Linked DNA regions of Sus scrofa. The protein of the gene in region 1 interacts with the protein of each later gene in a pairwise test. Links are inferred from orthologs where the notes say so. Each region holds a gene or a part of one and is shown in the gene's direction. Other genes may lie near its edges. The genes, in order: UBQLN1, TMUB2, MIEF2, UBE2V1, TRIM23, RASSF5 and HSD17B12.

Evidence for each region.
Region 2: the proteins of UBQLN1 (region 1) and TMUB2 interact in binary tests that used the Homo sapiens proteins (3 or more experiments, as listed by UniProt). The link is inferred for Sus scrofa from reciprocal best matches to the Homo sapiens genes UBQLN1 and TMUB2.
Region 3: the proteins of UBQLN1 (region 1) and MIEF2 interact in binary tests that used the Homo sapiens proteins (3 or more experiments, as listed by UniProt). The two-hybrid records come from large-scale screens. The link is inferred for Sus scrofa from reciprocal best matches to the Homo sapiens genes UBQLN1 and MIEF2.
Region 4: the proteins of UBQLN1 (region 1) and UBE2V1 interact in binary tests that used the Homo sapiens proteins (3 or more experiments, as listed by UniProt). The link is inferred for Sus scrofa from reciprocal best matches to the Homo sapiens genes UBQLN1 and UBE2V1.
Region 5: the proteins of UBQLN1 (region 1) and TRIM23 interact in binary tests that used the Homo sapiens proteins (3 or more experiments, as listed by UniProt). The link is inferred for Sus scrofa from reciprocal best matches to the Homo sapiens genes UBQLN1 and TRIM23.
Region 6: the proteins of UBQLN1 (region 1) and RASSF5 interact in a two-hybrid assay, tested with the Homo sapiens proteins (3 studies listed by BioGRID and IntAct). The link is inferred for Sus scrofa from reciprocal best matches to the Homo sapiens genes UBQLN1 and RASSF5.
Region 7: the proteins of UBQLN1 (region 1) and HSD17B12 interact in binary tests that used the Homo sapiens proteins (3 or more experiments, as listed by UniProt). The link is inferred for Sus scrofa from reciprocal best matches to the Homo sapiens genes UBQLN1 and HSD17B12.

The regions. Positions count from the first base shown.
Region 1 is NC_010452.4:31,310,416-31,313,915, forward strand, and holds part of UBQLN1 (ubiquilin-1), read left to right. Parts: intron 1-1,777; coding exon 1,778-1,861; intron 1,862-3,085; coding exon 3,086-3,201; intron 3,202-3,464; coding exon 3,465-3,500. UniProt on the Homo sapiens protein: Plays an important role in the regulation of different protein degradation mechanisms and pathways including ubiquitin-proteasome system (UPS), autophagy and endoplasmic reticulum-associated protein degradation (ERAD) pathway.
Region 2 is NC_010454.4:19,021,209-19,025,448, reverse strand, and holds the start of TMUB2 (transmembrane and ubiquitin-like domain-containing protein 2), read left to right. Parts: upstream 1-1,440; 5' UTR 1,441-2,008; coding exon 2,009-2,043; intron 2,044-3,546; coding exon 3,547-4,113; intron 4,114-4,240.
Region 3 is NC_010454.4:60,472,896-60,477,049, reverse strand, and holds the start of MIEF2 (mitochondrial dynamics protein MID49), read left to right. Parts: upstream 1-1,354; 5' UTR 1,355-1,514; coding exon 1,515-1,737; exon of another isoform or gene 1,738-2,072; intron 2,073-3,581; coding exon 3,582-3,739; intron 3,740-3,890; coding exon 3,891-4,071; intron 4,072-4,154. Other genes in the region: FLII (protein flightless-1 homolog), read right to left, coding at 1,201-1,263. UniProt on the Homo sapiens protein: Mitochondrial outer membrane protein involved in the regulation of mitochondrial organization.
Region 4 is NC_010459.5:51,640,499-51,643,998, reverse strand, and holds part of UBE2V1 (ubiquitin-conjugating enzyme E2 variant 1), read left to right. Parts: intron 1-2,322; coding exon 2,323-2,471; intron 2,472-2,477; exon of another isoform or gene 2,478-2,658; intron 2,659-3,494; exon of another isoform or gene 3,495-3,500. UniProt on the Homo sapiens protein: Has no ubiquitin ligase activity on its own. The UBE2V1-UBE2N heterodimer catalyzes the synthesis of non-canonical poly-ubiquitin chains that are linked through Lys-63.
Region 5 is NC_010458.4:44,108,292-44,111,791, reverse strand, and holds part of TRIM23 (E3 ubiquitin-protein ligase TRIM23), read left to right. Parts: exon of another isoform or gene 1-855; coding exon 856-985; exon of another isoform or gene 986-1,465; coding exon 1,466-1,576; exon of another isoform or gene 1,577-2,002; coding exon of another isoform or gene 2,003-2,041; intron 2,042-3,051; coding exon 3,052-3,176; intron 3,177-3,500.
Region 6 is NC_010451.4:67,155,839-67,159,966, forward strand, and holds the start of RASSF5 (ras association domain-containing protein 5), read left to right. Parts: upstream 1-1,328; 5' UTR 1,329-1,494; coding exon 1,495-1,951; intron 1,952-4,128. UniProt on the Homo sapiens protein: Potential tumor suppressor. Seems to be involved in lymphocyte adhesion by linking RAP1A activation upon T-cell receptor or chemokine stimulation to integrin activation.
Region 7 is NC_010444.4:18,608,961-18,613,005, reverse strand, and holds the start of HSD17B12 (very-long-chain 3-oxoacyl-CoA reductase), read left to right. Parts: upstream 1-1,245; 5' UTR 1,246-1,393; coding exon 1,394-1,553; intron 1,554-4,045. UniProt on the Homo sapiens protein: Catalyzes the second of the four reactions of the long-chain fatty acids elongation cycle. This endoplasmic reticulum-bound enzymatic process, allows the addition of two carbons to the chain of long- and very long-chain fatty acids/VLCFAs per cycle.

The DNA.
Region 1 (3,500 bases):
CCACAGCAGCGCGGGATCCGAGCCGCGTCTGCAACCTACACCACAGCTCACAGCAACGCCGGATCGTTAACCCACTGAGCAAGGGCAGGGATCGAACCCGCAACCTCATGGTTCCTAGTCGGATTCGTTAACCACTGAGCCACGACGGGAACTCCCTAAATGTGTATCTTGCTTTAAAATTTTTTTGACTTTAACAAGCACACTTCCAGCCATTTAAATGAAAAATAGTACATTTATAAAGTGACTTGAGCACTTTCACATGTTTTTTAAAGTGAAATGTTTGCTTTTATAAGAAGGCTAGGTATGAATTGTCTTATTGTAGACAGTTGTTACGAGCATTTATAGTGTACTTTGATTACCAGCAGATAAGAGTTTGTCGTTCTCTCTATTCTGATTTTGATTTTTAGGTATTCAAAAAAGTCTGATTATAAAAACTCTTGCTATATACAGTCAGGTAAGTTAGGAGAAATATCCTAATCCAATGAGATGAATCAGTTTAAAATGACATACTTTTCAAATAACATGAATCCTAAAAGATAAATGTGATAACTTTATTGATTTGTTCATAATAAAAAAAATATTATTTGACTGGAGCCGTTAAAGAAGCAGGTTTGTTGGCAAGGAGGTTTTACTTTATTTACTGTGAATTTACTGGTCACTTTGAAATAAATGCTGTAAATCCATAAAACATTGTCTGACTTCCTCCTGCATTAGTTATTTTGTTGAAATTAACTAAGTCTACTTTGCAATGATAGAATAAACTAAAGGAGGGAGGGAACAGTTCATTCTACTTGTAGTAGTTAACATGTAATTACTCTCAAATAGGGTTAATTAACTTGAGGGCAAGGGTCATTTTCCCCTCTGACTTGTAGACTGGTAAGCAGGCTGTCAGTAAATCTTTGTTGACCTTTCACTCTACCTGGGGAAAGTGATATAAAGTCTGTCTTTTTGAAGCTATGAGAGTATATCAGTTTCTGTTTATGCTGATCGTGTATCCTTATCTTATTTCCTGGTATGCAACATTGTGTTAATATTGACCCTGACTTTTTAGTTCTTAACACCCATTTGAAGGTTAGGAGGCATGCCGTTTTTCTCAACTCTGGTGGTAGTGAGGTGAAATCCAGAGGTTAATCTTGGTGTTCTCAAATGGCTTTATATTTTTAAGGTCTTAAAGCATTTTAATACTTTCCCCCAGAGATTGATCTATCGGTGCTAGTCCTGGGCTGATTTTCACTAGTAGCTCCACTTCTCTGGCTAGGTGGTTGCTGTTCTGCTGTGTTATTTTTCTGTACCTAATATTAGCTGTTTTGTAGTAGGCAGGTAGATATAGTGGTTCCAGATGTGGATTTTCTCTATGCTTGCCACTTGTGTGTTGAGGTGTCTAAGCAAGCCATGCATAGTTCATGTATTGATGCTATGTTTATTCTGTCAGTGTAGTGGAAAACGTATCTTCATGAATGCCATTTACTCTTATTTTTCCTTCAAAGGCAGATACCTTTGCTCAAGGAAAAGCCTAAAAAAATGATTGCTTTTATTTTTTAGGATATTGCATGTCATTATCATAATCACCATTCTCATTGAAAGAGAAGATGCCTCAGTTTTGTTTTTTCTGGAGATCCCTCTTGTGGACAGTATTCTTCCCTTTTTTAATTCATGTTCTACCTTCCTCACTGTTAAGTGCCAGGTTAGGCACTTGGGGGAAGATAGACTATTAAACAAGGTACATTACTTGTTTCAGATATTTCCAGTTAAAATTGTTTGAACACTTGCCCCATAGATGATGCTGAATAATCCCCTATTTGCTGGAAATCCTCAGCTTCAAGAACAAATGAGACAACAACTCCCAACTTTCCTCCAACAAGTGAGTAAGAAAAGATGCTAGCTATCTTTGGTAATTATTTGCTTGAAAAAAGTTTGGTGATAAACATTATCCTTGCTCTTCTCTGGCTGATAGCAAAACATAGAATAGAGTCTGGTAATGCTGTCAATTTGCAGAGAATTCAGCTTGATCTTAACTGAGCCCCATTTCATTGCTGACCTTTTGCTGGTATTTTTTAAACATAAATTCTGAGGAAAGGACCATTTGATTTTTGCTTTTGAGGATTTAGGATTTTGAATGCTTCGTTAATATCATAAACCATTTCCTTTCACTTTACTAACTTTGAAGTGCTTCATTGTGTCATGTTACACTGTATGGTTTAACTAATCTCGAGAAACAGGAAAGAGCTAGCTACCCTATCCTATTTTATATGTTTGGTTTCTTTGTAATGTTTTAATTCCTTCAAATTAATAGAATGCCAGTTTTCTAGGGGGTAGCACTCATTCCTCAAACTCGGAATTAGCAAGATTTAAATTGTTGTTGTCATATAAGGAAGGTTTTATTTAAAAAAGTACTTGAGATTGCCATGGTATTTTATTATTTAAAAAGATAAAAGAGAAGTCAGTCTTGGCATTTTGAAACTGGTAGTTCTAAGGAGGGCTTTTAAATATTATGCCAATGATCCTCAGGCCTGTAAACCATTATCCAAGGTTAGTTAGTGTCCTTGATCTATTGTAATGATGTAAGCCTGTCCTTTTTGGTTAGTCAAGTGGTGTGTATTTGGAAGTAGAAGCTGAACCCAGGACACATGCATTAACTTCAAATTTGGAACTATTGTTTTAGCGTGTATCTTACTGGTAAAACTGTTACATCAATAACAGATAACTCTTGGTCAGGAGGAATACGTGGTTTTCACCATATCATCATGTTATATAAATTGTGCATTTGGAAGTTGTCTCTTAGAAACAGTACTTTTATCTGTTGGAAAGGGGAAGAGTTGTGGCTTCCAGAGGAGCTCCTGATAGTCTTTCATTATGAAAAATGGCTTTCGTGATGGACTTGGGAGGAGGTCAGGTAACAATATGCACACTAGGTTACTATCAAAGAGGAGGTGCTTATGTTTATTTTGGGAAGAAATGAGGAATTAACTAGTGTTTAGGAGTAAGGTTTTAGATTTTCTCCAGAAGCATAGCAAAGAAAACATTTAAAATTTTACCTTTACTGGTTTTAATTCCTTCACTACCACAGTTTTTCTTTCTTCCTTAGATGCAGAATCCTGATACATTATCAGCAATGTCAAACCCTAGAGCGATGCAAGCCTTGTTGCAGATTCAGCAGGGTTTACAGACTTTAGCAACGGAAGCCCCCGGCCTCATCCCAGGGTAGGCTTCTTTGGGGAAGACTGTGAAAGTGCACAGTGGTTACTTTCTCTGAGAATTTCAGGCTTAATATTATTCTTCCCCCTTTTTTGGTGGAAATTGCTTTTAAAAGTTTTGAAAGTTAAAAACACTTATTTTAAGAAGATAACTTAGCTAATGTTCTTGTTAAAATGTAACTGATTTGCTGTCACCTGGCCTGGTCTGGCCTCTTGTTTTGCAGGAGTTTAGGTTTATTACCAGTTATTACCAGTTTGCCCTTTTTCTAGGTTTACTCCTGGCCTGGGGGCACTAGGAAGCACCGG
Region 2 (4,240 bases), on another chromosome or scaffold:
AAGATAGTGGCTGGAAGAGGACTGAAGGGAGGTTTTGGGGTATCTTTTTATTTCTTAAGACCTGGTTCCCCTGGTCTGTTCTGTGGTGAAAACTATTGAGCTTTTCGCTTTTTAGCTTGACCATCTGCATTATTTATACTTCTTCAATCCATAGTTCACCAGAGTAGTTCCCTTCGTGGCTCAGTGGTTAATGAACACGACTAGTATCCATGAGGAAGCCAGTTCGATCCCTGGTCTTTCGCAGTGGGTTAAGGACCCTGTGTTGCCAGGAGCTGTGGTGTAGGTCGCAGATGAGGCTCAGATCCTGGGATCCTGGGTCTGTGGTATAGGCCACAGCTACAGCTCCAATTCCACCCCTAGTGCCTGGGAACCTCCGTATGCCACGAAGGTGGCCCTAAAAACAAAACAAAACAACAACAAAAGATAACACTTATGGAGTTCCCATCCTGGAGCATTGGAAACAAATCCGACTAGCAACCCAGAGGTTGCAGGTTCGATCCCTGGCATCACTCAGTGGGTTAAGGATCTGTTGTTCCTGTGAATTGTGGTGTAGGTCACATAGGCAGCTCCGGAAAACAGCAAAAACCACAGAACCTCTTTAGAACAAAATTTAATTGCAAAAATCCAGATAAATTCTTGTAAATTAAACCTGTCTTTTTGGGGGCTCTTGCCATTCCTGTACCCCAAGCCTAGAAAAAAAATCAGTGCCTTCTTTGAAATGCTTTCTCACCTTATTTACCAAGGTGCCACACTATCTGGAGCCGCAATCTCGAAACACCGAATGGTTGGTTACTAAATCGTCTCCTCGCCTGGCTCCCGACTGAGCCCTGATTTGAACTCGTGGCGCTCAGAAAGACCAGTGCCTGCTGATTCCGCTAACCCAGAGCTCAGTGCGCGTTGTTGGACAGTAATAAGTCCAATCAGTCTGGGAAGTTGGGAGCAAGACCGGATAGAGAAAGCTGCGAAAGAGGAAAGGGTAGCTCTAGATTGCCCAGAGGTGCCATCCAGCTTTGACGTCCAGACGCGGAGCCACGCCCCTTACCCAAGCACCTCCCCTAATTCCCTCCAGGGCCCACTCCTCACCCCTAGCTCTTTAGGCCCCGCCCACCAGGCGTGGCTCGGCCCCGGGAGGGCCAGGATCCCGCCAACAACGACTCCGCCCCTCCTTCCGCCGAGAAACCTGTCCCTTTTATTTAAAGAATACGTTTACGTCAGCCCGCTTTACGTAGCTTTTCGTCATCAGTGCAAGGCGCAGAGGCGGAACTTCCTGTCTCTGGTTCTAACAGCTTCCGGGAGAAGCCGGAAGAGACTGGACCCTGAACAGAATTGGGGCTAGTCAGCCCCCTCCCCGATTCCCTAAAGAAAGGTGAGTCCATGGGCCGTCTTGACGAAGTCAAAACACTTAGTTTGGCCGTTTCAGGTGAGGACCTCCTTCCTTATCCAGGTGCGGTACCGGTCCAGTCCCCCTTTAATTTCCCATGTTCCCCCGCGTACTCAAGCCCCGCCCCCAGTTCCCCGGCCCCGCCCCGAAGTTTGAGGGGTGTGGATGGTTTGTGACCCCCTCACCCTCCCTTACCCCTCTTGGGCCGGAAGAACTGGGTCTGGGAACTGTGGCGGGGAATAGACAGCCTTTCGGCTCGGCTGGACCTACGGACCCCTCCCCAGCGTCGCGGGAATAGGACCGCCCAAACGCGGAGCCTTCGCTTCAGATAGGCAGGATCGGGGACCCTTCCTCACCGCGCCATCAAGGGTCGCTCACAGATTGAGGAGAGAGCAAAGGCCTCCGCCGAGGGAGACCTGGGGTCTTGCCCGGCCCCTCCCACAAAAGTTCCCTGTGCCTGTGCCAGTCGTGTTTGCCTCTATTCGCCGCAGTTTTCTTTTCTGTAAGTCAGGGTTAATGATATTAACCTTACCATCAGGGGTTAGTTGTGAGAGTGATAAATGATTGCTACTATTTGTTACTGAACAATTGCAATGTGCTGGGCACTGTGCTAAGTATTTTGCTTCGATGATCTCTCCTCATCTTCAAAACGACCTTATGAGGTAGGTACTATTTTTAATCCCATTTTACCGATGAGAACGCTGAGGCCCCGAGGAATTTAAGGTTACAGAGCTAGTAAGAGGCAAGACGGGGTTTGTAGTTTGGGTTTGTTTATTTGTTTTCTGACTCCAAGGCCCATGTACTATTGGAAATTATTCAGATGTTGATATATTCCACAGATATTCTTTGAGCAACTGCTATGGGATTATGTTGGGCTCTATGAGACACAGAAAAATACATGTGATCCTTGTCTTCCAGGAGTCTGGTAGAGAGATGGACAGGTAGATAAGTATAATGAAGTTTTATAGATGCTGTGAGAACAGGCTGGTAACGACAGTCATTAGATGGGATTTGCCCAGGGACAGCTATGAAAGCAGCAGATCTCAAAGGGAAAGAGTAGGGACTCCAAGGAGCAATAGAGATCCTTACTGCCTTTCTAAGACACTGCCAAGGGAGGAGGCCACCTTACAAGAAGAAAGATTGCAAAATGGATTGTGAGAGCCATTTGGAATCTTGTCCAAATTAGTTCCACGCAGGTAGCGGTTTTGTAGTTGTGAGCCTGTGGTAACCCAGGAGGGTGGTGTTTCTGTGTGTGTGTCCTGCTTCACTGCCAGGAGAATTTCAAGAGGAGGCAGACACAGTGTCTGCTGCATAGGGTCTAGTGATGGCCCCTACAGAGTTGTCCCTTTGAGGTGGTCTCACTTTGCTTTTTTTTCTTTTTTGGTTGCCCCAAGGCATATGGAGGAGTTCCCGAGCCAGGGCTCAGATCCCAGCCACAGTTGCCACCTACGCCGCAGCTATGGCAACACCGGATCCTTAACCACTGTTCCGGCCCAGTCGGCCCAGGGATCGAACCTACATCCTGGCACCGCAGAGACACTGCCGATCCTCTTGTGCCAGAGTGGGAACTCCTGGCTTTGCTTTTGATGATAGATTAATTTTCTTCGGCTCTTAACAGCTGGACCTAAATCCATGACCATGAATGAGATTGGGTTCAAATGAGATAACCTGGCCAGAGTGGCCGTGCTGTGCCTCCCAAAAGGACCCCCAAGTAAAATATTCCAGGCTTCTTTAGTCTCTCTGAAGCTGCCTTGGAGGCCTTTTGCCAGGGAGGTGTCGTCGTTGTTTTACCGAGTGGTAGAAATCCTAGAGAAACTTAGGTCTCAAAGAAGCCAGTGTCTTCCCTACCTGTCAAAAAGCAACAAACAGTAGCAGTAGCAGCAACAATGAAACTGTAAGCTTTCCTTGATGACCCATGCTCATTGGGGGGTTGGAATGTGAGACAGGAAGGGTGTGGAGTCTGAAAGTCAGCCTTTCACAGTGGAGGCAAAGGCTAAGTCTGTAGCCTTGGGTTGGGGTCCGGAGTTAGGAAGGTTTGTGCCCCTCTCTGCAGGACAGTGAACTCCATTTTCTGTCAGGGCTGGGTCAGGCAGAACCTAAACAAACAGGAAACCTGGTTGCAAGCCCTCAGGCCCTGCTGACCCTATCCCCTTTTGTTCCTGCAGTGTGGACCCAGTCAGCAACCAGGCCATGGAGCTCTCTGATGTCACCCTTATTGAGGGAGTGGGTAATGAGGTGACTGTGGTGGCAGGTGTGGTGGTGCTGATTCTAGCCTTGGTCCTAGCTTGGCTTTCTACCTATGTAGCAGACAGCGGTAGCAACCAGCTCCTGGGCACTATTGTGTCAGCTGGCGACACATCCGTCCTCCACCTGGGGCATGTGGACCATCTGGTGGCAGGCCAAGGCACCCCCGAGCCAACCGAACTCCCCCATCCATCAGAGGGTAGTGATGAGAAGGCTGAAGAGGCTGGCGAAGGTGGGGGAGACTCCACAGGGGAGCCTGGAGCTGGGGGTGGTGTTGAACCCAGCCTCGAGCATCTGCTTGACATCCAAGGCCTGCCCAAAAGACACGCAGGCCCAGAGAACGGCAGGCCAGAGGCGCCCCTGCGATCCGAGGAGAGCAGCTGCCTCCCTTCCGGCCCCAGCCTCATCAATGTGCGGCTCAAATTCCTCAATGACACCGAGGAGCTGGCTGTGGCCAGGCCAGAGGATACTGTGGGTGCTCTGAAGAGGTAAGTGGGCTGGGAAGTGGGAGGCTGCTCAAACCCCAAGCCCCCAGCCCTTGGTCGCCTCGGAGGAGGCCAGGATAGAGTGGGGACAGCAGGGATGCATCAGGTCCTGCCCCGCACTTTCTTAGAA
Region 3 (4,154 bases), on another chromosome or scaffold:
GCCTGGCATCCCGAACCTGCTGTGGCACCTGGGTTAGGGGTACCCCTCAGCTTCTCCAAGGTCCCACCTGTGCTCCCACCCTGCCGTCAGCACACAGCTCCCCAGCCCCGCCAGTCGCCCAGCCTCAGCCCCGTTGGTTAGTTCACTCATTCGCAGCTCTTCCCACAACCAAATGCCCACTCAGTACCCCCACCCTTGTGGCATGGGGCCTAGGCAGTGTGTGCTTTCACTGCCCTTGGCTGGTGTCCCCTTCCCCCTACGGCTACAACTCCCAGCTGGTGACTCAGACTCTCCCACTCTGTACAGGACACGTGGGGACCCCCAGACAGGATGGTGGGCAGGAGGCAGAGGAAAGTGGTATGGCTGCCTGGGCACAGGGTCAAGGGTGCACACAGGGAACAAGGCAGGAAGAAAAGCCTGCCTCCTCAGCCCTGGCCCGACCCCGGGGTCCCAGCCAAAGCCTGGGCCGCTGGGCCCTGCACACCCGGGCTGACACTATACTGACCCCAGCCGGAGTCTGCCCACTGGCCCATCCTGCCGAGGAGATGACCCTCTTGGAGCCAGGCTGACTCTGGCCTCTGCTGCTGCCCCGCCTCCTCTCCGGTGCCCAGCCCTGCCCGCCTGGTTCCCGGTCTCCAAAACAGCCTCCCTCATCCCCAGTGCCTGGTCCTTGAGACCCAGGTTGTTCAGTTCAGCAGCTGTTCAAACAACTGCCGCCTGGGTCTCGACACCTGCCAGACGCACTCGCCACGAAAACGCATCCCTGCCTTCGGAAGACTAATCTCAAGTGCCTTCCTCGAATGAGAAAGCGAGGCTCGGAGAAGGGAAGTGACTTGCCCAAGACCACACAGGATGGGGGTGGCAGGAGGGGGCAGGGCAGTGACGGCGGCGCGGCCGTGAGTCAGGGCTCCGCTCGGGCGTGTGACCTCACAGGGGCGGGGAGGGAGGGCTGGGGAGGCGGGGGCACAGGCTCCCGACCCGGGCCGGCTGGGTGGGGCCCGGCGCCTGGACGGAGCCCGGTGGGGGCTCTCCGCGCGCGCCCGCGGCGTTCTGCCTGGGTGCCCGCCGCGGGCGCGGGACGGAGGCGCGGCGGTCGGCTCGGGACGGGGCCCAGGCCCAGCGAGCCGGTCCGCGGGTCCGGGGCCCGCAGGAAGCGGAGGGGCGGGCTGGGGGAGGCCCGGCCGCCGCCCGGGGGCTCACCTTGAAGTCGTTGCCGCTGAGGTCCACGCCGCGCACGAACGGAAGCACCCCGGTGGCCTCCATGGCGGCGCAGCTCGGCAGGCTGCGGGGCGCGGGCGCGGGCGGCCGGCGGCGCTGGGCGGGGCGGGGCGGGGCGCCGCGGGGGCGGGGCGGGGCGCGCGTCGGCCCCGCCCCTCGGCCTGCCGCCGCCGCCGCCGGGCCCTCTGCTCCGGACTCGGCCTCGGCGCCCGAGGCTCAACAGCCGGCGCTTGCTGGCTCCCGGGCCCCCGGTGGCTCGGGACCCAGGCCTGGGCGCACGGGGCAGCGGGAGTTGGATGCTAGGGTCCTCAGCCAGAGCCGCGGGCCTGCCTCCCGTGAAGCGCTCCCTGGGGCGCGGCGCCCGCGCTTGGAGGCGACTCCGAGTGCAGTTACGTTCTCATTCGTCCCCCGAGGGAGGCGTCCCCTGGCTGGCACATGGCAGCCCCAGTAGGCGACAAGGCCGCTGTGCCCTTCACGAGAAAGGCAGCAGCAGACCACAGAGACCCAGAGGCCCGCAGGGTGCGTGCCAGCTAGAAGGAAGCTCGCCTTCTCCCCCGTCGCGGTTGGGAGCGCGGCCCTGTCCCTTTAAGAAGCAGCGCGCCGGGAAGCCCCGCCCCGAGGAGCGCGCGGCCGCCATTGGCTGAGCGCGCCTCAGGGCGGCACGTGGGCGCAGGCTTCGAGCGCTCCGATTGGAGCCAGAGCCTGCCGGTCTGCTCGCCGGGCACGCGCCCGCCCCCCGGGCCTCCGCGTTCGGTTCCCGGGTCTTTCACGTTCCACTCCCGGACGGCCCCGGGGTGCGCGGCCCGAGCAGGCCCCCTGTGTCCGCCGGCAGGTGTGCCGAAGCCGCGACGCAGGTACGGCCAGAGCGTGGGGGCGTGGCCTCCCTGGGTGCGCTCTCCGGCCGGGAAAGGGCCACTGGTGAAGGGCTGGGGCTGGCCTCCGAGCTCGGGTCCTGTCTGGATGGGTCCTATCCTGGGTCCATCCTGGCGTCCCCAGGGCCTCGGTGCCCTCGCCAGCCGGGGCTTGTAGGAGGAGGGGAGGCCCGGCCGCGCCCTCTCCCCTTCGCTGGTTGGGGTGTGCGCAGCCCCCTCAGGAGCTGGGCGGTGACCCAGGTCAGGCAGGGGGGCGGTGGCAGTACTCATCTCCGACGAGGAAGCCTTCCAAGGGCCATGCTGGGTCAACCCCGGCCGTCTTTCCTATTTTTAGTTTGGGAGCGAGGCGTGGGTGCGGGGCTGCAGGCCCTACCTGGCAGCTGAGCCGGGCACCCGCCCAAAGCAGGGCGGCCAGAAGTCCTTGGGGTTGAGTTGGCTCTGAGCTAAGAGTCATCTGCTCAGGCGTCCTTAGCTGTCCTGCCGGGCCGTCTGACTGGTGTCCTGGGCTTGTCTCTTGGTCACACCCTCTTCACTCGGTCCCACCCCAGCTCATCCCTTCCAGGCCACTTACTTTAAACCTTTCCTAGCGCACCTGCACCACTTTGCAGATGAGCAAACGCAGGGCCTCGGATCCACAGCTACCTTCCATGGCCTGGCCTCCCAGCAGCCGAGGCCTCCCAACCCAGCATTGTCCCAAACCCGGGAGGCCCCTGTCCAGCCCTGCTTGGAGTCTTGAGTCACCTTGCTAGCTGCCCTCACAGTGGGGCCTTTAACCTCCTCTGGCACATACCTGTTGCAGGTAGCTCCTGCCCCCACCCCCGGGGCAGCGACCTCGCTTTCTCAGACTCGACAGTTCTGCCTCTGGGGGCTGCCCTGCTGAGACTGGCGGGTGGGGGGTTATAGCTGAGGCCCCCTGAGCTTCACTGAGGTGACCCCAAAGGTCTGAGAGGGGTTCAGGGCAAGCTGCTAGGACCCCAAGCTGTGGCCTTCTCTGGGCCTTGGTTTCCTCCAGCTTTGCCAGCCCTGGTCAGAAACCAGGACGAGGCCACCCCTGGGACCTGACCGTGGGGAGGGTGAGGGTCTAGAGGCTTTGCACTCACCGTGTGGGTCAGCCACCTGATTCTCTGCAAAGTGGGGGTGGTGGCAGTGAGATCCATCTCATTCACGGTCTCTGGCGACGTCGGGGGTCCTGAGGGTGGGATGGATGTGGCCTCCCTTCCCTGCCCTGCCGTGGGCCTCAGGGCCTTCCCTCTGAGACCCGGGGGGCTGGTTGTTTGCAGGTTTGGGTGGGGCACTTGGGCAGGGAGGCCTCCCAGGAAACCCTGCAAGTGGCCCCATTCTCAGAAGTTCTCAGGAAGCCCCCTGACTCAGTGACCCTGGCATGATGTCACCCTGCTGTCCTGCTGACAGGCTGGCCATGCCCCCCCCCCACCCCAGCTGAGCAGTCACTGTGCCCTGGCTCTCTTACACTGTGCCCTGGCTCTCTTACAGGTGGACCAACCATGGCAGAGTTCTCCCAGAATCGGGGCAAGCGGCGTGACGGCGAGGCGCTGGGCAGCGCTGTGGACTTTCTCCTGGCCAATGCCCGCCTGGTGCTGGGTGTGGGCGGGGCTGCCGTGCTGGGCATTGCCACGCTGGCTGTGAAGCGGGTACGGTGGGGCTGGCCAGAGTGGGCCAGGGGTGGTGGGAGTGCCCGAGGCTACACCTGCCTCTGCCCCACCAGCCTAGATCGCTTTGCCCTTGGCTCTGCTGCGGCTGCCTGGGCTTCAGATGCCCTCATCCATGTCACTCTGCCTGCAGCTCATCGACAGGGCCACCAGCTCTCAGGATGAGGCTGATGCCAAGGGGGACGCCACGTGCCTGGAGGAGAGCTGGAAGGAACTGAGCCTGCTCAAGGCCACGCCGTGCCTCCAGCGTCGGCCCCCACCCGCCGCCCTCAGCCAGTCGGTGCCACTCCGGGCCCCCTCACCCTCTGCCCCAGGTGAGCTGACGCCTCCCGTCTGACCTGGGTGGGCCCCTTATTTGGTGGTCGTGTTCTGGAGACGCAGCCCAGGCTCTGCCACT
Region 4 (3,500 bases), on another chromosome or scaffold:
TACACTTTTTTTTTTTTTGGCCATGGCATGCAGCGTCTTTTATTGTGGAATCTCAGTTCCCAGACCAGTGGTTGAACCCAGGCCACAGCAGTGAAAGTACAAAATCCCAACCACTAGGCCATCAGAGATCTCTCATCTCACATTCTTAGGCAGCCTGACAGTAAATATCTAAAATTGTGACCTCTGAAATAAAATAAAATTATGCTATATTCTCACCACCTTCACTGCTAATACCTGTAATCTTTTGCTAGAATTATTGCTATAGCCTCCTAGCTGTTTGTACCCTAGCTCCCGTCACTGTATACAGCAGCCAGGGGGATCCTGTTAAAAACAAGTCCTGTCATTGCTTTGTTCAAAACACCAGTGGCTTTTTGACAGTTGGAGCCCCTCATTTCGTACTTTTCTTTGATCTCACTAACTTGGTTATTAAATCAGCATCTTTGCTATTCTCAGATGCTCTGGGAAAGGTCCTACTTCAGGGCCTTTGCACCTACTGTTTTCTCTGCTGGGAAGACTCCCCTCAGCTACCCGTAAGTCATGCTCCCTATTTAGAATTGTAACTCCCCCAAGCATTACTCTCTGCTCCAGAACTCCACCATCTGTCATACTTAGGTAATTTGCATAATTTGTATATGTTTCCTACTAGAATGTAAGCTCCATGAGGACCGGCATTTTTTTTGTTGTTCACTGCTTGTTTTCTAGTGCCTAGAAAAGTGCCTGACAAAGTAGATGCTCAGATAGTCCAGTTGATTTGTTTGTTTGTTTGCCTGCCTTTTCTAGGGCCACTCCGGCGGCATATGGAGGTTCCCAGACTAGGGGTCTAATCGGAGCTGTTGCTGCCAGCCTACACCAGAGCCACAGCAGTGCAGTATCCGAGCCACGTCTGCAACCTACACAACAGCTTGAGGCAACGCCAGATCCTTAACCCACCAAGCAAGGCCAGGGATCGAACCCGCAACCTTGTGGTTCCTAGTGGGATTCTTTAACCACTGAGCCACCATGGGAACTCCTCCGGTAGTCCAGTTGAATTAATAATAATGTATTGAACACCTTGGGAAATACTGAAATATACTGGGAACACTTCCCACAGTCTTGAGTTCCTCCAGTGAGTTTTTCTTCATGGTCATGTGTTAAGCGCTGCGTGGCTCTGAGAGTCTGGCCATTTGGGGGCTCGGTAAAGACAGCTTGTGGGAGTTCCCATTATGACTCAGTGGTAAGGAACCCTAGTATCCATGAGGATGCAGTTTCAATCCCTGGTCGTGCTCAGTGGGTTAAGGATATAGGTTGCCATGAGCCGCAGTGTATGTCACAGATGAGCTTTGGATCCTCTGTTGCTGTGGATGTGGTGCAGGCTGGCAGCTGTAGCTCTGATTCAACACCTAGCCTGGGAACTTCCATATGCCGCAGGTGTGGGCCCTAAAAAAAAGAAAGAAAGCAAGCTTGTGACTTGCCTGGATCCTGAGTTTTTCCCAGTGGAAATAGTCTAAGTGCCAGGGCTTGAAGAGGGGAGTGGGGAGAGAGGTTGGCAGGACTGGTCGGGAGAGCACCATCCCTGTCTGGCTGAGAACCTAGATTCTGCTCTGGAAGACACCCAGAAACAGTGCAAGCCTCTCTGGGTACAGGGGCATGAACCTGTGAGACATGTTGTTTGCTTGATTCCATGAGCTACTTGCTGGCCTTTGGGGTTTTTGGAAACAGGTAAAGCAGAGTGCTGGCTGCCCTCTTAGCTTTTTCACAAGTTAAGAGAGAAACTATGCCTTAAATATTTGAAATTTTTCATTCTTGCTTTCAGTTGACTCTGAGTTGATCAAGAGGACACCATTGTTATGTGATACGGTCAGGGCAGCTGTTCCTCCTAAAGTAGTTTGGGAGTCATTCCAGTAAATGAGCATGTCTTAGACTCAGAAATGTACAATAAGAACAAAAGAAGTAGACTCACGTCTTTTCTTCCAAGGAACTGTTGTTATCACTTTATTGACAGTTTTCATCTCAAACTAGTGGGCCTAAATTAATCAACATTATGACATGTAAACCCTTTATGAAGTTTTTCAAAGCTGTGGGGGTGGGGTGTCTTTCTAGGTTCGGTCAGTAGCCCTGGTTTAATCGTCACTTCACCTGTAACAAACCGGGTACCCCTTCCTTCTCGTTGTGCTGGTCAGTACGGATAGCCTCGTAAGCAGCAAGCTTGAGGTATGACAACTTTGAGCAGTTTTTTGCATGTAAGCATCTTTATTCTCAGGTGGTGCTATTGAGCAGCTAGCTGTAGGTTTACAAGTTCCCCTGGAGTTGCTAGTATCTTGAATTTTTCTCCATTTATTTTAGGAGTAAAAGTCCCTCGCAATTTCCGACTGTTGGAAGAACTCGAAGAAGGCCAGAAAGGAGTAGGAGATGGCACAGTTAGCTGGGGTCTAGAAGATGACGAAGACATGACACTTACAAGATGGACAGGGATGATAATTGGGCCTCCAAGAGTAAGCGTCGAGCTACGGCTATAAATGTCAATGTCTTAAATTCACTGTGCCTCCTTTTAAAAAATATTAGCCTTATCACGGAAAAAGCTCACCAATGGTATAGTTTCTGAAATGTGGCTATTCTTTTTTGACCAGTTTCAGTTTATATATTTGAACCTCCTCTGATGCTGTTTAATCCCTCTAAATGGTAAGCAAAAACCTGTTCAGACTCATAGTGTGAATTTACATGACAATGTAGACAGTGAGGTTTGAGGTAATTGCACCCTCAGATGCAGATTTGGAACAAACTCTTGTGCTTATCAAATAACACGACTCCCAGATACAGCCAACATTCCTGAAGACAATATCCAGATGAACTTTGGAAAGCCGTCTTGGTTGTGGTTTTTACTCATCATTTCCCAGTCCTACCATGCATCTCTCTCCTAATTCATTGAGCCATTCAGCAAAGGGTTATTGCCTGCCTAGTCTGCTTGGGTCTGTTCCAGGCCCAGAGGCCTTTGCAGAGAAGACGACAGTGGGAAGGGGGAATGTGACCTCTCTTGGAGACCTTCATGGTTTGCGAGTTCCCAGCCTTCGTGATGTCAGCTAACCTTTTTTTATGGTGCATAGTAACCCCCCTAGAAATGCCAGTTAATGCCAGAACCTGTTGTTAGATGCTACCATTGTGTAGTTGCATTCCATTTCACAGATAATAAGGAAAGAAACTCAGAAGTGAAGTTACCCGCACAAAGTCATGTAGCTGATTATTCCCAAACCAGGTCTGACTCCAGAGCCTGTGCTCCTAACGCTATGCTATATTGTCTCCTTCCTATTTATATTTTGAGTTTTCATCTGTTCCCATTAGAGAATATCCTAGAGTGGTAAGTAGTAATTTGATGTAGATATGAAGAAATAGATTCCAATTATGTGACACTTGTTTCAGACAAGCAGTAAGAGATTCTGCCTGAATGCATCAGGCCCTTTCCTGTGTCTGCTTGTGCTTAAGGATGGTGATGTTCATTCATTCTTTTCATTTCACGCAAGGCCCTG
Region 5 (3,500 bases), on another chromosome or scaffold:
ATCACAAAAGCCAAAAAGAGTGCACAAATGAGGAAGTAAAATAATTGTTGACATTTATATAGCATTTATGGGCTACGTGTTTTAAGGATTTTTACATGTCTTTTTAAAAATTAATATATGCAATAATCCTATATAAGTCTGGTGCTATTTTCATTCCCCATTTTACAGATGGGAGAAGTGAGGCAGAGAGGTCATGCAGCAATATATACAAGTATGTTCATTGCAGCATTATTTATAATATCAAAAAATCAGAGATGACCTAGTATCTTTCAGTTGAGATTAGTTAAATTGTGGTTTATGGAATATAATGAAGCAATTGAAAGGAAAAGTATGTCTGTATGTTTTGAAATGAAAGATTTCCATAATGTTAATTGTGAAAAGTTAGTTGAAATATGTTTTTTTTTTAAAGTATATTTGTTTTATGTATGTCAACCAATGTGTGCACAGAAAGGTGTCTGGAAGGACATACATGAAATTGTTAACAGTGGATATTTATGGGAAATGAGCATCACTTTTCATTTTTAATTAATATATTTAACTCAGCATAAAAATTTTATTTAAAGAAGATTCAGTTGAGCTAGAAAATCTGGGATAAAGAAGTGGATGTGTATATTTTTTTAACTTGTATTAAAACAAAGTATGTAGTAAGTTTTACTAAGCCAAGATTTAGCAAAGCAATGAGGAGTGATTCCTCTGAGAATATCAGAATCAGGGTATTTTAAACTGATTTTAATGGATTGAGGAATGAGTAGGAGACAAATAATTAACAGAAGTTTTTTGTAAATAAAAGTGTTAAGTGCTAATACTTTTAACTCCATAACAAAATAAAAAGATTAAATTTTTTAAAAATTATAGGACAATAGAGTTCACATTGGACCAAAAATGGAAATTCGAGTTGTCACATTAGGATTAGATGGTGCTGGAAAAACTACTATTTTGTTTAAATTAAAACAGGATGAGTTTATGCAGCCTATTCCAACAATTGGTAAGTATGAGTATTGCTTTATCTTTAATGGACACTTTACATACAAACTCTAGCTTATAGCTGAGTTCTTAGGACCTTATTTTATGCCTGTCTGCTGTGGAGAATGGCTCTGCCATGGAGAAAAAAATGGAATATTCAGTGGCTGTTTAACTGAAATGTGGATAGAGGGATAGTAAGAAGGAACAGAATATTGGTGGTACAGTTGCAAGGAATAAAGGATTGATGACTGGCTAAGGATTTGGGGTGAGGAGGTGGTAGTGGTGCAGAGCTGGCACTTCAGTGTCAAGGTCCTAAGAGCTCTGGTTAAAGGTATTAATTTCCTCATGTATGCTTATTAGGAGTGGAGTTAGTTGGGCAGCAGTAGATATTGTTGTATGAAGATAATTTGTAAGTTACAGTTGTAAATGGTGTTGCCTGTGTTTGTTGTGTCATTCATTGTAAATATAAGTTTAGTATTAAAGAAACTTTTTTTAAAAACAGGTTTTAATGTGGAAACTGTAGAATATAAAAATCTAAAGTTCACCATTTGGGATGTAGGTGGAAAACACAAATTAAGACCATTGTGGAAACATTATTACCTCAATACCCAAGGTAAGAGTATAAGAGTTACATTATAATTTTTCAAATTTTTAGGATGCCAGTTTTCAATGCATTGATTAGGTAATAAAACTGATGCTTTAGCATTGATTAAATATGTAACTATACCTTTATATATTTGTAGCAGACACCGCATTATTAAGAAAATTAGTAACATTATTAAGAAAATTAGAAAAACTGGGATATGTACTCTGGGTTATTTCATGAAAAGCATAATTATAGCATAACAACCATATTTATGTTATATATGTAGACAGTTAAGCATACTTACCTCTTGCTGCTTTTAACAAAGATTAGTATTAATGTTCATATGAGCATGATCACTGGCAATATTGTCGTATAGAGTAGAATTTGTGGGGTATAGTTCTGTTACTCTATTCAGTTCAATTCCATTATATTCTCTCAATAGCTTCCACTCCTTCATTTCCATTCACAATTAGTTGTTATCTGCAGAAGAACCTGAAGTGGTTTGCTTTTGACCAAATTGTGTTATATCACATATATTCCACTTAGCATTTGGGCCTCATTTTATGCTTTACCTCCTGAAACTTATGTTCATATATCATCCTATTTTCCACCTAGAAGAAAGACTAGATAATTTTTACTTTGGGATTTTTGATATTAAGTTTAGTATGAGCAAGTGACTAAGGGGGAAAAAAGGGAATTTTGAGTATGAAGAATGGTTGAAAGTCTGGGATGTTTAGCTACAGGAGGAAGCTGGAAATATTTTAAAGAGAATTAATTCAGTATCTATTTATGAAGCTTCATCTGTGTATTTTCAGTCTAATCTATGGAACATGCCATTACAGGCACCTACAGAGAATACTTTGGGGAGATAAAGATGGTGATTTATTTATTTTTAAAAAACTGTCTTGGAGTTCCCATTGTGGCTCAGCAGGTTAAGGACCTGCTATTTTCTCTGTGTGGATGCGGGTTCAAACCCTGGCCTTGCTTAGTGGGTTAAGGATCCAGTGTTGCTGCAAGCTGCAGTGTAGGTTACAGATGTGGCTTGGATCCTGTGTTGCTGTGTCTGTGATGTAGGCTGCAGCTGCAGCTCCAATTCAACCCCTGGCCTGGGAACTTTCATATGCTGCAGGTGCAGTCTTAAAAAGAAAAAAAAAAGCAAAGACTTTTTGTAAATGAAGTAATAATCGAAGAAGTAGCACCAGCAAGTAGATCAGGAGAGCTGCATTTTCATTCATTAAGAAAAAAATTTTAAATGGTATGAACAGCAGTTTCTATTTGGTAGTGCAAGTGTTGTAAATCCTGTTATAGGTTGGGAAACAACAATTGAAAAGTTATGTTCACTACTTGAGATCATATCATTAATTATTGCTAGGTGCTCCTATAATTGGCAGCCTTTCTGTGAAAATGATCATAGATTATCATAATGAGAACATTAAAATATTTGGTCCATTTGCTGAAACTTAACAAGTGACTAATTGAACATTTTTACGTTCTTTTGGTAGCTGTTGTATTTGTTGTTGATAGCAGTCACAGAGACAGAGTTAGTGAAGCACACAGTGAACTTGCAAAGTTGTTGACGGAAAAGGAACTCCGAGATGCTTTGCTCCTGATTTTTGCTAACAAACAGGTGACACATTTGTATTTCAGAATACTTATTTTAGTATTCCATATTATAGGTAGCTGTTACTATTTCAAGAGAAATCATTTAGATATTTACAAAGTTTCTGTTCTATATTTTGAGTACAATCTTTATGGAAAGTGCTGTACTTGGTACCTTGGAGTATACCAAAAGAAATAAAGTAGTTGATGCTCACCAGAAACTCCTATGTAGGAGTTCCCTTTGTGGCTCAATGGAAAAGAACCTGACTAGTATCGATGAGAACATGGGTTCCATCCTTTGCCTCGCCCAGTGGGTTAGGATCTGGCATTGCTGTGAGCTATGGTGTAGGTC
Region 6 (4,128 bases), on another chromosome or scaffold:
TACCTAAAAATCACCTCCAAGGGGAAAACAAAAAGCAAAAGCAAAGATTCCCCTAGGAGACACTAGGGGGAGACCCATCTCTGGCCTGGGAAGAGGAGGCACCCTCTCTCGCGTTTTTCCAAAGCTGATTTACCGGTGACTTCTGTTAAATTAACCAAACTGAACCCCAAGTCTTGAGAGACCAGGCAGTGATCAGGGAGTCAGAATGGTGAAAGTGGAGAAGGTGGGAAAAGCATCCATCTGTCTCCCCACTCCCGGACAATTTAGTTAAGGAAACTGTAGCGGCTACAGCCAGGGTCAGCAAGTCTGTGGCCAGACACACAGGTTCAAAGCTTCAGCAGTTCCGTTTCCTCACCCATGAGAGATGGTCACGGTTATGCAATGTGTGGGACATTGAAAATGCCGATCTTTTGTTCCAAAAATTATTAAGGCTTTCAAGGCGGTGATAGCAGGGCATTAAACTCGAGAGGTGGGGAGAGGTTACGAAGCCTGTCCTGGAAGCTGGTAGAAGGGGCTCTCTCTTTGGTCCCACTGGGTGAGCTGTCCTTACCAGGTACAAGCAAGGCGTCTGCGGGCAGGGCACGGCTGCGTCGGCGGCAGCAGTATTTCCACAGTGAATTACGATGGCACCTATGAGAAGAAGAGGGTTTGACTTAGGAAGAAAAGCCCTTCCAACCCACGGGGCGCTGGAGTGGTCTCACAGCCCAGGGCCCAGGAGTACTATAATTCCCAGCCTTCCGGGAAAGGAATATCCTACCCGACGGGGCTGCTGAGAGAGGGGAAATCAAACAAGAGTGAAAGTGGCGAGCGGACAGTCCTGACGGCCGCGCGGAGGCGGCTTCTCGCCACCGGCATGGGAAGCGTCCCCCGCGGCGCGTCCCTCCGCGTCACGGGACTCTGCGCCGCCGCCAGCGCGCGAGCGGGAGCCGGGCATCCCCGACCCACGCCTGGCTCTGTGCGCAAGGGGGCGGCGGGTGATGGCGAGCGGGAGGGCGGCGAGCAAGCGACCACCGGGAGGGTGGCGAACGGATCCTGAGCTTGTAGACATCTCCCTACACTCCATCCTCAGCTAGTTCCTAAGCTTCTTCATCCGGTCCGAAGCCCTCCCCTGGGCGCGTTGGGGAGGGTCTGGGGTTGGGGGAACTGATGGGAAAGGAAAGGAGGCAGGGCTGAGGGCGAGCGTCCCCCTACCAAATGTCTCTTCTGAGTTGTCCTGTGTAGAGCTTTTCGCGTACGCAATCCTTGAGCTGCCCCAGCTTCCCGAAGACTCCTCTAAATCCACACTCTCTCAGGAGCCCCTCCACCCCCACCCCTGCCGCTGGGTCGGTAGGTGGTTCCCTCGGGTCCTCCTTCCCGCCTCTCGGAAGTCTCCCCACCCCCGCCCCGCCCTGCAGGCTGCGGTCCCTTTAAAGGCGCGCTCGGTTGGGGCCGCCCTTCTCTCGAGGCGGACTCGGGAGGAGCGCCACGGCTGAGAGCCGCCGCCACTAACCCGGCATGGCCATGGCGTCCCCGGCCATCGGGCAGCGCCCGTACCGGCTACTCTTGGACCCGGAACCGCCGCGCTATCTGCCGAGCCTGAGCGGCCCCGAGCCGCCACCGCCACCCCCGGGCCCGTCCTCGCGCCGCTGCGCCCCCGCGCCCCTGTCCACTGCGCCTGAGGCGCACGAGGGGCGCGGCGCCCGGAGGGCTGCTCGAGGAGACGTGGAGTCCCAGCCTCGCGCCTCCCGACCCGCTCGCCCTCTCCGGCCTGGTCTGCAGCAGAGACTGCGGCGGCGGCCTGGAGCGCCCCGGCCCCGAGACGTGCGGAGCATCTTCGAACAGCCACAGGATCCCCGCGTCCCGGCGGAGCGAGGCGAGGGGCACTGCTTTGCCGAACTGGCGCTGCGGAGCGGCCGGGGCTGGTGTGACCTGTGCGGACGAGAGGTGCTGCGGCAGGCGCTGCGCTGCGCTAGTGAGTGTGCGGGCAGGGAAGGGCAGGGCAGAGGAGGGGCGCGCGGGAAGACCGCAGTCCATGGGCAAGCCACTGCGAGGGGGCCGGGGCAGGCAGAGAGGGGACATTGCCGTCTCTGGCTCCAGGGGAGACCTTGACTTTGACTGCGGGAGACACTCTTTTCCCTAGTCCCCTGCCCGCTATCCTTCAGTAACAGCCACTGCCCAGGTACGGTTACGTGGTATTTTACGACTACCTCTTCCCTGACAGGTGTGCGCCTCGCACCTCCCCAGACACACACGTATACACACTCGCAGGTTGGGGTTGATGGCTAAAGCTACAAGGTCATTCCGTTGTCTGCTGTGCACCGTCTTGCTTTTGTTGTACGTTCTTGGCCATGGGTTGTGAGGCTGATATTGAGATGATCATTTGACCCTTACTCATTAGGGTTAATGGCAAAATGAATTGTCCACCTATGGTACAGGCCCATGGCGCATACCTGCCTATGGTCACCCTCCTACAGGGTGACCTGTTGTGCCAGGGAGGGGACCTGATCAGGCTTTGGATGGAAAGGGGCTGTGAGGTTGAAGAGAGCCTGAGGTGACCCTGGACCTGTGTCCCCTGCCTTCCACCTCTGGCCCCTCAGACCTTTGGACTCTGCTCTGATGTTTTTCTGTGCCCTGCCGCCCCCTCCTCCTCGTCCTAGGTTACAGCACCAGTCATCAGGCTCAAAAATTACCCAACTGCTTGCGCTGTCCCTTCTTCCTCAGAGCTCTCGGGTCCCTCCAGCCTCCTCCTGAGCCAGACTCTTCTCAAAGCCTAACTATTAAAGCCCTAGGCATCCAGTGTATAGATTTTCTGAGGAAATTTGCAGTCTTCTTGGGGGTTTATTATTTTTCTCTTCCAGCAGTTAGGTGTGTGTGTTTCTTTAGTGGATGTCCCCTTCCCACCCCCCCACGCCACCCCCATATTTGCCACGTTTGGCAGAGGATATCCCTGCCCATGTGTTTATGTGTTTGTATAGATATTTCAGATATTGTATAAATATCTGAAGCAGAAAGCACAGACAGTGATACAACCTCTAGCAAGCATCTCTGGAAATGGCCTATGGTTTGCATCTTTCAGCAAAGGCCCTTCCCAGATGCCAGCAGCCCCACAGCTCCCATCCAGCTACAGCACTGGACAGCAGCAGCTACATCCACATCAGGAAAACCCTACCTTCCCTCTCTCTGCCATCCACACCCAAGGCTGTGTGCCGTGTGTGCCTCTCACTGCAGCTGGCTTCAGGGAAGGAGAGCCCAGACTCTAGGTCAGGGTCAAGTGGAAGAGGAAGATTGGAGGGGCAAATGGGTGCTGCTCTGTCCACCACCAGAACTCAGTTCAGGTGCTAATTGAAAAGGAAAGAACACAAGCTGTAAGAGGTGTGTGATGTGGGTGGAGGGCTGCTGTCACTTGGTTAAATGTCCCTGACCTTCCGGGGAATCAGATCAACTTTCCCACAGATGTCCTGGCAGCTTTTGTCCTCTCAAGGGTTCTGGAGTACTTTCCTGCCTCCACCAACCCTGGAAACACACAGAGAAGCAGTATCTTCACTGTAATGGGTTTTATTGTGCTGGAATCCCAGGAAATCCGCTTCCCTGGAATTCTAGTTTGTATGAAGACATTGGAGAACTGTATCAATTGTTGAACGTTTGGCATAGAATTTTATGATTTTCAGAGGGTATTGTTGATAATGGAGTCTGTGTGTATATGTGTGTGCGTGGTACTCCGTGATTAAGTGACCTGATGCTCACTTCACGTTAGAATTGTTTCCTTTGATTAGTTCATCCATAGGTTCTGGCGGCAGGAAGTCTCAGATGCACAGGCATGTCCTCTGACTCTGTGTGTCAGTTGGTGGCCCCCAGCGAGGTGATTTAATACTGAATGTCGGAGAGGGAGCAGAGTTGGACTCAAGGGGCTACAGAGAGGAGTCTCTGTTTGTTGTTATTAATATTTAACTGATTTTGGACCTGTGGCTGGATGGGAACAGTTGAGAAATGTTCTGGTGGCTGGCAGGGAGAGGCCACATTCACCAATCATCTTTCTTTTAGTTGAAGTTCTAATTCCACGGTGGGGTTGGTTTGTTTTACCTTTGTTTTGAAAAGCAGGGGTCAAAAACATGACTTTTTTTTTTGGTCTTTTGTCCCTTTTAGGGCCGC
Region 7 (4,045 bases), on another chromosome or scaffold:
CCAAATTCCCAGTCCATCCCACTCCACACCTCCCTGCAACCACGAGTCTGTTCTAAATGTTTGTGAGTCTGTTTCTGTTTTGTAGATAGGTTCACTTGTGCCATAGTTTAGATTCTACATATGATATATATCATACAGTATTTGTCTTTCTCTTCCTGACTTCACTTAGTATGATATCTCTAGTTGCATCCATGTTACTACAAATTTCATTCTTTTTAATGGCCGAGTAGTATTCCATTGTGTATATACACCACATCATCTTAATCCAACCATCTGTCAATGTACATTTGGGTTGTTTCCATGTCTTGCCTATTGTGAGTAGTGCTACAGTGAACATAGGGGTGCGTGAATCCTTTTGAAATATAGTTTTGTCTGGATATAAGTCATTAGACAATTTCTTAAACTTACCTTGGACTCTACTCCTCTGGAACTTTGGCGAGGTGGTTATACATCTACTTGGACTGTACACTTTTGTGCGCCTTCATCATTCCTCCCTCTGTAGCCCTTTAAATCCCAGTTAAAACATGGAGTCCTCCAAACTAATTGTTCATCAAGCTGTGTTCCCATAATCTATTTTTCATTCATTTTATAGATCTAAAACCGTTGGGTATTATAGTCATTTAACTCTGTGATCCCTCTTATTTACCTTTCAGTCCAAGACATTGGGAACTATGTTGTTTAATGCCAGTGAGGGAGGGAGTCTGGCACTTAGAAAGCCCTCCATTAGGATGTGTAACCGGAGCGAAGGTGTGCTGTGGGGACCGTACAGAAACAGGAGATGAAAACATTTATTCGGAAAAGCTTATGGGAAAAACGACACCACACTTAATGATGCAGAATTGTTTAATAAAGACATGAAAATAAAACCGAGGCTCCCCGTCCACTTCTTACTACAATATTTCCTTCCATTCACCCATTTCCTCCTCAAACCCAGCTCAAAGCAGGTTGGATCTGATTGGCCAATCCGAGCACACGCTACCGCTGGGGCCAGGACTCTCCAGCAATGAGAGACCCGGGCAATTTGGTGAGGGTGAGACGTCCTGCGCTCTGGCGGAATCCTGGGGCGCGTTGCCGCGATGCACAGGGCTGAAGCTTGATTGGCAGGTGAGCGATCAGCCGCCTTAAGACGGAAACGCCAGTGGGCGACAGCTAAGGGGAGTCTGGGCGGGGCAGCGCAACTAGAATCAGCCAATGGCTGATGAAGTACGCGCAGCGAGACCCACAGATCCACCAATTGCGGCACGGAAATGGTGCCATAGGCGGGGTTTAGGCCAAAATCTTTGTAGGAGCAGCGCCTATTGCTGTAGTCTTCACCGTCACGGCCGGCGCTTCTTCTTGGATTCATTCATTCGTCTTTTTCATTCGCGAAGGTAGTGAGGCCCGGTTGAAAGCCATGGAAACAGCTCTGCCTGCAGCGGGCTTCCTGTACTGGGTGGGCGCGAGCACCGTGGCCTACCTGGCTCTGCGCATCTCGTGCTGGTTCTTCACGGCCCTTCGGGTCTGGGGTTTGGGTCACGAGGCGGGGGTCGGCCCGTGGCTCGGTGAATGGGCAGGTGAGTCGGCTCCAGCGCCGCCATCCCCCTCGCTCCTTCGGCGGCCCGCGCGGCTCCCGGCTGGGCCTGGTCTGCGCTGACCAGGTCCTGGCCCAGCGCTTGGCCTTCTGGTCCCCAGCTCCCCTCTCCTCTTTACTGAGACTCCTTGGTTCCGCGTACCCGCCTGTTCCCTGTTCCGCGTACCCGCCTGTTCCCTAAGCAAATCTTCCGGCTTGCTTAGACTTGTGGAGTTTGTAAGTACTTAATACATTGCTGGCCTAACTCAGAGAATCTGAAGGGCCACTTGGTGGGTGCGGGAGAAATCTGACCCCAGCTCCCTGGATCTTGTGACCTTTAAATCTTTCCGGCTTCACCGACTGGAGTTCGTCGCCCGGCTGCTTGCTCGGTCACACTCTATCCACATGGCTAGTCCCTTATGAGTATTTTTAAAATAAAGTTTTTGGCTTGAACACTTGCCTTGTGCTAAAGATGAAAAGCATTCTGTTGCTTGTTTGGGGTGAGGGTGAAGGAAGAGGACAGAGAATTTCAGAAGACTTTCTGCTCTTTGGAGCCTTGGGTTTGGTCTATTTCATATAATTTACTTTTTTTTTTTTTAATCTTTGCTAAATTGGTCTGGAGTTCTAATGGGTGGCAAGAACTATTGCTTTTGCAAAAACGGTAACTCTTCAAGTAGAATTCAGAATTTTTTTTTTTTTTCAGGACATTTGCAGGAAAAAGTATTCCCATAAAGAGTGAGCTAAACAAATGGATCTTGTTTATCTAGTTAGAGGAAAATGGAAGGGAAAGGTCAGATTAGAGAAGTTGAGAAAATTATCTGCAGGGAAGTTTTGCGTGTGCCTTTTTTCTTTCTCTGCCTTTTTTGTTGATTTTCTTTCCTTATTTTTCTTTTCTTTTAGGGTTTTTTTTTTTGTTTTTGTTTTGTTTTAACTGAGTGATGTACAGATCGAAGATGTGATTATGTGTTCTTCAGTTTTTTTTTTTTTTTTAGGGCCTCCCACGTGGCTTCTGGAAGTTCCCAGCAAGGGGGTCAAATCAGAGCTATAGCTGCTGGCTTACACCATAGCCACAGCAACGCCAGATCCCAGCAGTGTTTGCGACCTACAGCGCAGCTCAAGGCAATGTGGGATCCTTAACCCACTGAGGGAGGCCAGGGCGAACCCACGTCCCAATGGATACTAGTTGGGTTCATTACTGCTGAGCCACGATGGGAACTCCTGTTCTTCAGTTTTATAATAAAATGTTCACAAAGCATTTTATGGAATGCTGAGTGGTTCGGGGTTGCATTCAGACTAGGCTCAAATAAGATGTGCAAATAATGGTACTCTATATTCTTTATTCACTTGAAAACATTTCAACAACTTGGTAGGAAAAACAAGATAAATTACACTTTGGGGATAGCAACATAAAGAGAAAACATCTCAAGTAGGAATGAATCTGTGAAGCAGCTGTTAACATTATAATATGTATTTTAAAAAGTCACTGATTTTCTAATCGTTGAGAAAGCAAGTGATGTGTAATCAATTATAATTTCACAGTTGGTTTGCTCAAGTTCTTAGTTGTTTGGCTCGGAAAACTTGCTTGTCGACTTTCGAAATAGTTGCATAAAACTCCAGTGCCTTAGGAAATTATATATTAAGATGGATTAGTTTTGTAATTTATAAGTAAAACTCTTGGCAGTCCCTGTTGTGGTACAGCGGAAATGACTCCGACTAGTATCCATGAGGACTCGGGTTCCATCCCTGGCCTCGCTCAGTCAGTTGATCCTGCATTGCCATGAGCTGTGGTGTAGGTTGTAGATGCGGCTCAGATCCCAAGTTGCTGTGGCTGTGGTATAGGCCGGCAGCTGTATGTAGCTCTAATTCAACCCCTAGCCTGGGAAGTTCCATATGCTGAAAGTGTGGCCCTAAAAAGCAAAAAAGACTCTTGGGAATAACTTTTTTTTTAGCTATCTAAAATTGACTGTAGTTGCTGATAACTCAGATGGTCTAAGTTGTTTCTATATGAATCCATAGTAAAAGCCAAGTGATGTGACATTGTCATTTTATGAGTAATACTTATATTGAAAAGATTTGGCCCCAGAGGAAAGATGTTTGATGAATTAAGGGAAATACTGACAAGATTTAGAAGTAACATTTAACCTAGAACAATAGGATATAGCAGAGAGGCTCACAGTGTGGTAAAGTGAAATACTGTTCAGTTTGTGTTTTGGGGAATCTCTTTTCAAGTATGGAAGCAGAAGAAATGATCAAGTTATTTGTAACACTACACACGTGTGGTGGCCTGGATATTAAAAGAAACTACTTCTTGCTTTCTCTCTCCCAATTCAGGGACTCTTTGAATAACAAAGAAAAAGTGAAATTTTTGGAAAACAAACCAGCGGAGATAACACTTGCATAATTACGGTTAAATTTTGATTAAAAGTAGGTAATTTGTTCAACCAAAGTTTTGGGATTTTAGAATTAATGTTTGTATGTAATACTGATAAGTTTTCT